Neurospora crassa OR74A: one gene and its partner. The protein of the gene in region 1 purifies or fractionates together with the protein of each later gene. This does not show direct contact. Links are inferred from orthologs where the notes say so. Each region holds a gene or a part of one and is shown on either strand. Other genes may lie near its edges.

What was found.
Region 2: the proteins of NCU01695 (region 1) and NCU04009 purify together in Saccharomyces cerevisiae (affinity purification with western blotting; 3 studies listed by BioGRID, with this or other methods). This does not show direct contact. The link is inferred for Neurospora crassa OR74A from reciprocal best matches to the Saccharomyces cerevisiae genes NRD1 and RRP4.

Annotation. Positions count from the first base shown.
Region 1 is NC_026502.1:2,700,356-2,704,291, forward strand, and holds the start of NCU01695 (RNA binding protein Nrd1), read right to left. Parts: upstream 2,801-3,936; 5' UTR 1,838-2,800; coding exon 1,709-1,837; intron 1,633-1,708; coding exon 1,387-1,632; intron 1,174-1,386; coding exon 1,071-1,173; intron 980-1,070; coding exon 1-979. UniProt on the Saccharomyces cerevisiae protein: Plays a role in sequence-specific regulation of nuclear pre-mRNA abundance.
Region 2 is NC_026506.1:2,432,413-2,436,144, reverse strand, and holds NCU04009 (exosome complex exonuclease Rrp4), read left to right. Parts: upstream 1-1,483; 5' UTR 1,484-1,766; coding exon 1,767-2,930; 3' UTR 2,931-3,232; downstream 3,233-3,732. Other genes in the region: NCU04010 (malonyl CoA-acyl carrier protein transacylase), read right to left, coding at 1-93, 164-353; NCU04008 (mitochondrial ATPase), read right to left, coding at 3,238-3,732. UniProt on the Saccharomyces cerevisiae protein: Non-catalytic component of the RNA exosome complex which has 3'->5' exoribonuclease activity and participates in a multitude of cellular RNA processing and degradation events.

The DNA of each region.
Region 1 (3,936 bases):
TTCTCGGAGGGCGGCTCCTGACCCGGGCTCTCATGTCTACGGTTGGGGGGCGACCGTTGTCGGTACTCGGGAATACGCATATCCCGGTCTCTACCACGATCATCCGGATGGCCACGGGGCGGGGTGCTCCGCCCATAATCAAAGCGATCGTTACCGCGGGCTCGAGGCGACCCCCTGACATCCCAGCGCCGCGGCGAGCGTGAGCGAGAGCGACCCCGAGGCCTATTTGGAGACCTCATCCCATCATGATAGCCATTACGATCACGTGATTCATCATGTCTCACGGCCTCCCATGCAGGGGCAGCAGATACACCGCCAGCAGGGGGAGGAGGAGGATAGCCGGCATATAGAGGCTGAGCAACGGACTGGGGAGGTGCTGCCGGGGCGGTGCCACTTGGTTGACCCATCAGCTGCATTACACTGGCAATCTTGTCAAGAGGGATGCCCTGGGCGGCGAGGGCGGCGAACAGCTGAACCGTCGTAGCGGTATTCGCACTAGGGGCTGCTCCTGGCACTTGCACAGGCTGAGCTAGCTGTGCGGCCGGAGCTGGGAAGCCAAATGGCATCGTCGGTGGCATGTTCACCGACTGCCCCGCCGGCTGCGATGCTGATAAGTACGGCATACCCGGGTGCCCCACACCGGGAAGAAATCCGGCTGGCAATGCTCCATTGCTAGGCTGGCCAGAAGTAGCAAACATGGGATGCGGCGTGGAAGAAGTAACAGGAGGAATCTGCGGGACCCCCATTTGTACCGGAGAAGGGGCCACAGCCGCAGTTGCGGCCGGGGCGGGAGCAGGGGCGGCCGCGCTGGAATTACTCTGAGCCGCATTCGCATTCAAGCGGGCAAGATTTGCTAAGGTCTCCAGGATGTTGGACGGCATTACGGCGGTAGTTGTAGGCGTAGGGAGAGGTCTGCTAGTGGCCTGCAAGGAAGCCAGCGGGTTGGGAGGGGGACTGCCTGGTGGTGTTGTCGAGACATCTATCGGCACACGCTACAGTTAGATCAGGCAAACAACGAGCACCGCACACGCGTAAGGGAATATGCTTAGGAGGATCCGGGCAAAACCTACTGTGCTGTTGATGAGCATTCAGCTTCTCCTTGAAGGTGTTGACCATATCGGGAGGAAACGTCTGGCCCTTTTCCCATATGTCGACCAGCTTCTTGATCTTCTCCTACAAGACGATACGGGTGTGAGTTTATGAACAACATGATACTGGACACTAAATACAACCAAAAATGGATGCACGATATGGTCTAGGAAAGTGAAGACGACTGGTGTGGCCTGATCTTACAGCCGCTCCCAAGTGTGCTCGGGGTCTAGTCCGTTTGGCAGAAATGGAGGTATAAGTGTAAGACGGCACATGAGTGTGCGGTTGTGTGCGTACCTTTTGATCCTCGGGGGCCGAAGAGATGATGGCGTTCATGAACATGGGCATTAGTTCAGTCACTCTATGGACACCGGCAGCATAGGTGCCATCCTGTGCACCAAGGGTGACGGGTTGTTCAAGGGCCTTTGCCTTCTCCAACCATTTGCGGGTTACAGAATCTACGACGTATAGGACGCCCAGCTTGTGAGTGTTTGGTGTCTTCTTGTAGTGGGTATATAACTTCTGAACCAGCTGTGATTCGTACTGTCGAAGGATGTGTGGTTAGCTCTGGTGCCTCCATCGTGCATACTGTCGAGCCCAGACACGGCGCTTTTCTTACCTGGACGTTGTTCAAACACAGCATGGTGAGGCTATTGATTTTCGAGCCAGAGACACCGGGCGGTTTCAGGTTTTGCATGTCCCCGAGGCCCTTCTCTAGTTCAGCTACGGCCGCCTGTGACGACAACATGATGGATGATTTTTGTTTGAAAATCGAGCAAGACCAGCTGAAGTCGGCAATCAACTTGGCCGTTGGGCTTGGAAATACAAGCTGCGATGTAGTACGGTTGTGATACGGTGAAGGCTGATTAAAGGTTTTATGCCAATACCATGCTCCTTTGTCACGGGTGGAAAGACGGAGTACGTTGATTAAGGCTCAAACAGGTCGGCATCCAAGGTCTGCTTTCCTTGCTTCTCGACGTATATCACCGAGGTTACGAAGCTGCAATTTGCCCGCGCCACCGGGTACTCAGAAGAGAGCAGCTTGTACGAAGAGACTGTCCTTTCTGTGCGTCTTAAGACAAGCGCAGAAGCCGTAGGCCAGTGCAAAGTCCTAGCAAAAAAAAGAGAAGCCGAGAGGCCAGAGATATATGTTGCTGGCCGGCGTGTGTGCGAGCAAGAATACGGTGGTCCTTTTTATTTTTCTGACGTGACGCGCGAAGTGGAAACCACCAACTGGGGATAGCTGTGACGACGTGCAAGAACCGCAACGAAAGCAGCTGTACGAAGGGCAGACAAGATCAGGACTTGACCTGCGCGGATGTGATCTGGGCGCACCCTTTTACTGTGAGGCTACTAGAAAGTGAGAAAATCCAGGTGAGCGTGTGCTGAGTCGAGATGCATGGACAAATCCTGGGCGACTAGTCGATTACTGGATTGCTGGATTGACGAAGGCGGTCTCCGTTGGCGTTTAAGATTATTTTCGCTGATGACGACAAAAGCGTGATGTGGTGGTGATGCGAGAAGTGAGGAGGGAGTTGGGGTTGGAAAGCGGGGAGAAAGAAAAGTTGTCGTTGCAGAAGTAGAAGAAGTGGACTGGACGGGGGAGTGCCAGTGGTCGGTGGTTGGTGCAGGTATGGGTGGGTACTCGGCTGTAGTGGCTGCCCTGATCTTGACTCTGCTCGAGTCGTCTGTCGGGTTCGATTGCATCCGTTCGTCGCTTCGGTTTGCCTGCCCTGCTGCCTGTGTGCTGTGCTGCTGTGGCACCGTGGCTGTGATGCGTGGCCCGAGGGGAGGAACGAACTGGCAGGCACTTTTTCGAGCCACCCAATCACGCCTTGATTGGTTCGAATGACCCGCCTCGAACTGTTGTGACTGAAGGCTCGGAAAACCTTCTTTTTACAAGCAAACGAAAGCCTTGCAGAGAGGTGTCGGACGTGTTGTGGCCTGACGCACGTACCAAGAGCATGAGGCACTAAGGCAACAAAGCCGAGACGGATTGCGGTAAATTAGGAACCCCAACCGTTGATCCACATCCAACCTGAGATTGGATGAAGCCCTTACTGGAGTCGGTTGCGTGCTCCATCCGACTCTCCATGCAACCCCGAAGGTTCCACGAACATTGATGATGAGCGTTGAGTGTCGAGGACGTGCTAGGGAACAGATTGTGCAGGCGGGTTCATCTATTATCAATCCGTCCATCAATTGGCAATTCCAACATTGTTTTCTGGAAACCCGGAGCAGGAACGTTTCCACACCTGTCAAAAGGGGCGGCTTCCCCGGATGAGTTAGGGATCTCGCAAGGGCCAAGTACATACCTAGGTAGTCCCAAAGGCCCAAAGGGTGCCGTGACGTCAATGCATGCCGGTGTCGACATCGATGCGAGTGAACAAGCAGTTTTGACATCGCGATGTTGAGGTCTGGTCTGACAACCGCTGTCCCTCGAGACACATGCGATTGCAGAGACGCGCACATGATGTCGGTGCCGCAAGTGTTCAGCGTGGTCGTGTCCAGGTATTCTTCCGGTCTTCCGTCGTCGGCCATCCTTTTACCGCGCGCATGGACGGGAGGAGACTTGGGAACCGAAACACACGTGTGGGAGCCGCCCCGCGTTCGATCCTTAGAACGGCGTCAGCGACCCCCTGACCCGCTCGAGCTCGGCAGCTCGGCCAAGCTACCTCCACGTACATCCGGATAGAAACATTGAACCTTTGGCCCGCAGAGTTCCATGTTCAGCTTCATGATCCAAATTGACCACATTCAGGGCCGGATATTGTATCCATCAAAAAACGGAGATTTGGCGCCGGCCTCTACGGTGATTACGGTGTGGGCTTCTCCAGTCTCATACTC
Region 2 (3,732 bases), on another chromosome or scaffold:
CTATCGAGTCAATTTCGTCGATGATTTCGGAAGTTGTCGAGGGAAAGGCTTCTAGCCAGGGCGTGAGCATGCCGACTCTTTGGACGCCTTGGCCTGTATATCTCATGGCTGTCAGCATCGTTCTCTGTTCAAAGCAGGACAGCGCACTACTACTACTACGAACCTGGAAAGAAGATGGCCGTCTTTGGCCGCGTGTCTGGTACCGGGAGATGTGTCGCATGTCCTCTACGCTGCCGTACCGCTACCGAGCGCGGTAATGGTGATATCCTGAGGGGTATTTTTGTGGTGACATTGTTGCATGTGAAAGGAGGAAGCGCAAGCGCAGGCCGACGAAGGGGCCCTCGCAAAGGCATATCGGTGTATATGGACCTGGAAACCTCGATTGGTGCCCGTCCCAGGCCGTCCGTCCGTTCGGTCCGTCCGATCTACCGCGTAGTGTAGTGAATCGGTTTCGGAATCTTGGTCTGGTTTCACTGACAGTCTTGGGATGATCCACCGCTATGGTTCCCGATATGTAGTCGATATCCGATCGGCGCCAATCCGAGTAGCACACGGTTATGTCGTAGTCTGGTGGAATCCGACGTCGTGGTAGATGACGTGAATCTCGAATTCAAACAAGTCAGGTATGTTTGACGGCGTGAACCCGCAGCAAGTAAACAATGGGAGCAAATCAAAGAGCAGGACGGACGGGACTACTAATGGCCGTTCAAAGGGATGCCAGCAACTGGTGGAAGAACACGGGATGATCGGCTTTCAACGGTAGCAACAGTAAGGGCCTCCCGGGCAAGTAGGGACGGGTGTATCCTGCAAGAAGTGGAAGCTCGAGAGTGCTGTGTAAGCAGGTACGGACACTGAATCGCGGTAGGTAGGGGCTTACGAGGGCGGTCGAGTCGGTCATCAATGGAAATCTCGCTCTCACTCAACAAACCGCCCTGGAAATCGACAACCGCGGCCGGGAGTGGATCACGCCAGCCAGCGCCCGGGTGGCCCGTTGTCCCGGGGTCTCGGCTTTGTGGAGAAGGTGGGTGGGGTAGTTCCGAACGTCGCAATCTGGATCCATGGCACCTCCAATCGTTGTCACTGGGGCAGGCACTTCACACCTATTCAACGATGACACCCGTCATTGCTGCAGCAGTAGTGTACCTACCTACCGAAGGACCTGACGTGCGACGTCGCCTGGGCTGCCACTGGTGCGGCTACAATACTGTTGGCTTTCAATTTGCAGTAGAAGTAGGTTTGAGGAGGAAAAGGTCCCAGATCCACTCATTGTAGTTACATAAGGTAGTGTAGTTGCTAGATAAAAACCTCAAGGACGCGGACGGGAGGAGGTAAGTACCTGCCCAGCACCTACACAGTACCTGAGTACCTACGTACTTTGCGTGGTGTACCTGCACTGCATGTGCCTCTATTTTGTGCCCGTGCACGACGACAGGCACAACAAAGGCCCCACCAACCGTGTAAAGTTCAATCGTCAATACCGTATCGATTTCAATATCAGAATTTCCAATACGCAAACATTTGAACGTCAACTCATCAACTCCAAAGGGAACTAAGCAACTGGAAGGCCCATACAACATCCTTTGAGGCCACAAGACGAATCGACACAAACAACAAACTTCTGCAGGTCAGGATAGTCACATAGTAGAACTTGAGATTCGAGAAGGTCGACAACGGAACCAGGAAGGAAGGATTCATTCGGACCTTCATCACACCAACAAACACTCAACGTTGAGATCGCCATTTCACACCATCCACAACCACACAACATGCCCATCACAATCCTCCCACCTAAAGCCTTCCGGGACCAACCACCCCGCCACAGCCTCAACCATGACTCCGACGACGTAATGTCCGACGCCACCTCCGACTCTGAAGACTCCGACTCCCAACCGGGCGGCGTCTCTCTCGACGGCGGCGCGACCATCCACCCTCGTAAGCGTCATCGCTCCGGCGCCGGCGCAGCCGCCTCCTCTACCTTCACCAAGCGCCCCAAGACCAACGCTGCCATCAACTCCATCCCGCGCTCCGCCATCGTCACCCCCGGCGAGCGCATCACCACGGACCCCCAATGGATGCGCGGCCACGGCACCTACCTCTCCTCGGCCTCTTTGGGTGAACAAGCCATCACCTCCTCGCTGGCCGGCATCGTGACGCGCACCAACAAGCTTCTTTCCGTCCGCCCTCTGCGCGCCCGCTACACGCCCGAGGTCGGCGACTTGGTAGTCGGCCGCATCGTCGAAGTTCAGGCAAAACGGTGGCGGGTCGACGTCGGGTCCACGCAGCTCGCTGCTTTGCCTCTTTCCGCCATCAACCTTCCTGGTGGCATTCTCCGCAAAAGAACGGAGACGGACGAGTTGCAGATCCGCACTTTCTTTGCCGAGGGGGATCTGGTGGTGGCCGAGGTGCAGCAGCTCTTCCAAGATGGTGGTGCGGTGCTGCACACGCGCTCGCTCAAGTACGGCAAGCTGAGGAACGGGGTGTTCATGGCTGTTTCTGGCACGGGCGGCGGTGGAGGCGTGGTCAGATCGCGCAGACAGGTGTGGACGCTGGAGAGTGCGAATAATGGCGGTCCGATTGATGTGATTTTGGGCGTCAATGGCTATGTCTGGATCTCAAAGCATGTGGAGCCTGTGGTTCCCGAGGAGGCGAAGGGCCAGACGGGCATTACGAACCTCGAAGAGGTGGTTAGTGCTACCATGTATTCGAGCCAGAATGACAGGATCGAGCCCGAGACAATGAGGGAAATTGCGAGGATTAGGGGCGTGGTAACGGCGCTGGTGGAGAATGGATTGCGGGTGGATGAGGATATGGTTACAAAGGGGTATAATGAGGCCGTGGAGCTGGCGTTGGTGAGCGCGGATGGGCCCGAGGATGTGTATTTGGGTGGTGAGAGAGGAGAGCAGCTTGCTGCTGCTTTGACGGCTGTCTAGGTCTAGTTCTAGCTGGGTCTAGGGGCTCGTGTAGTAATGCATTCGGGAACCCAAGAAGAAACAAAATGCTTCCCTATTTGATGGGGTCGCCAATCAGCTTTGAGCCGTTGAAGAGCTTCCATTTATGCAAAACACGACGCTGGTGGTGGCTTGTGAAGCCTCAAAGCCACTTTGATCACAAAATATGGCGGTATCCGGGGAAGTATATCACATAATAGCTTACAAGTCTGCATAGACCACTCGTAAGAGTACATGTAATCATCTTCAGAGCATCTACATGAAAACCAACATCCAACCGTCACCCCCATCACCTCTTCCCCTCCTTCATCTCCCTAACCCTAAACCTCTCCAACCCCACCGGTTCCTCCAGTACCGTCGACTCCCCCATCACAATCTCCGTTTTCTCCTTCGGCCCCGCATTCAACCTCACCAACGGTGATTCCAACGGCTTGCTAACCTCCTTGCCCTCCCAATGCCTCGCCTCCTTGGGCAGCGGCTGCCACCAACCCTCATCGGTCCTAGCATGCCACTGCCTGCTGCACAGCTCCCACAACCGGCTCGTCGCTCTTTTGTACGCAAACCGCTCGTCCTGGCCCGTGAACGCCGAGACGGTCTGGTTGAAGTCCACCTTGCGCGTCAGCGACACTTGCTGCTCCTTACCGAAATCCGAATCCTGGTCCGGGTCATACTCGGAAATGTTTGGACGAAAAGGGGCGATGGAGTCTTGGAACACTTCAGCAATGGTTTCGGAGTAGGTTGCGTCGCCTTCTACTACTGCTGCTGCTACCTGCTCGGTTCCATT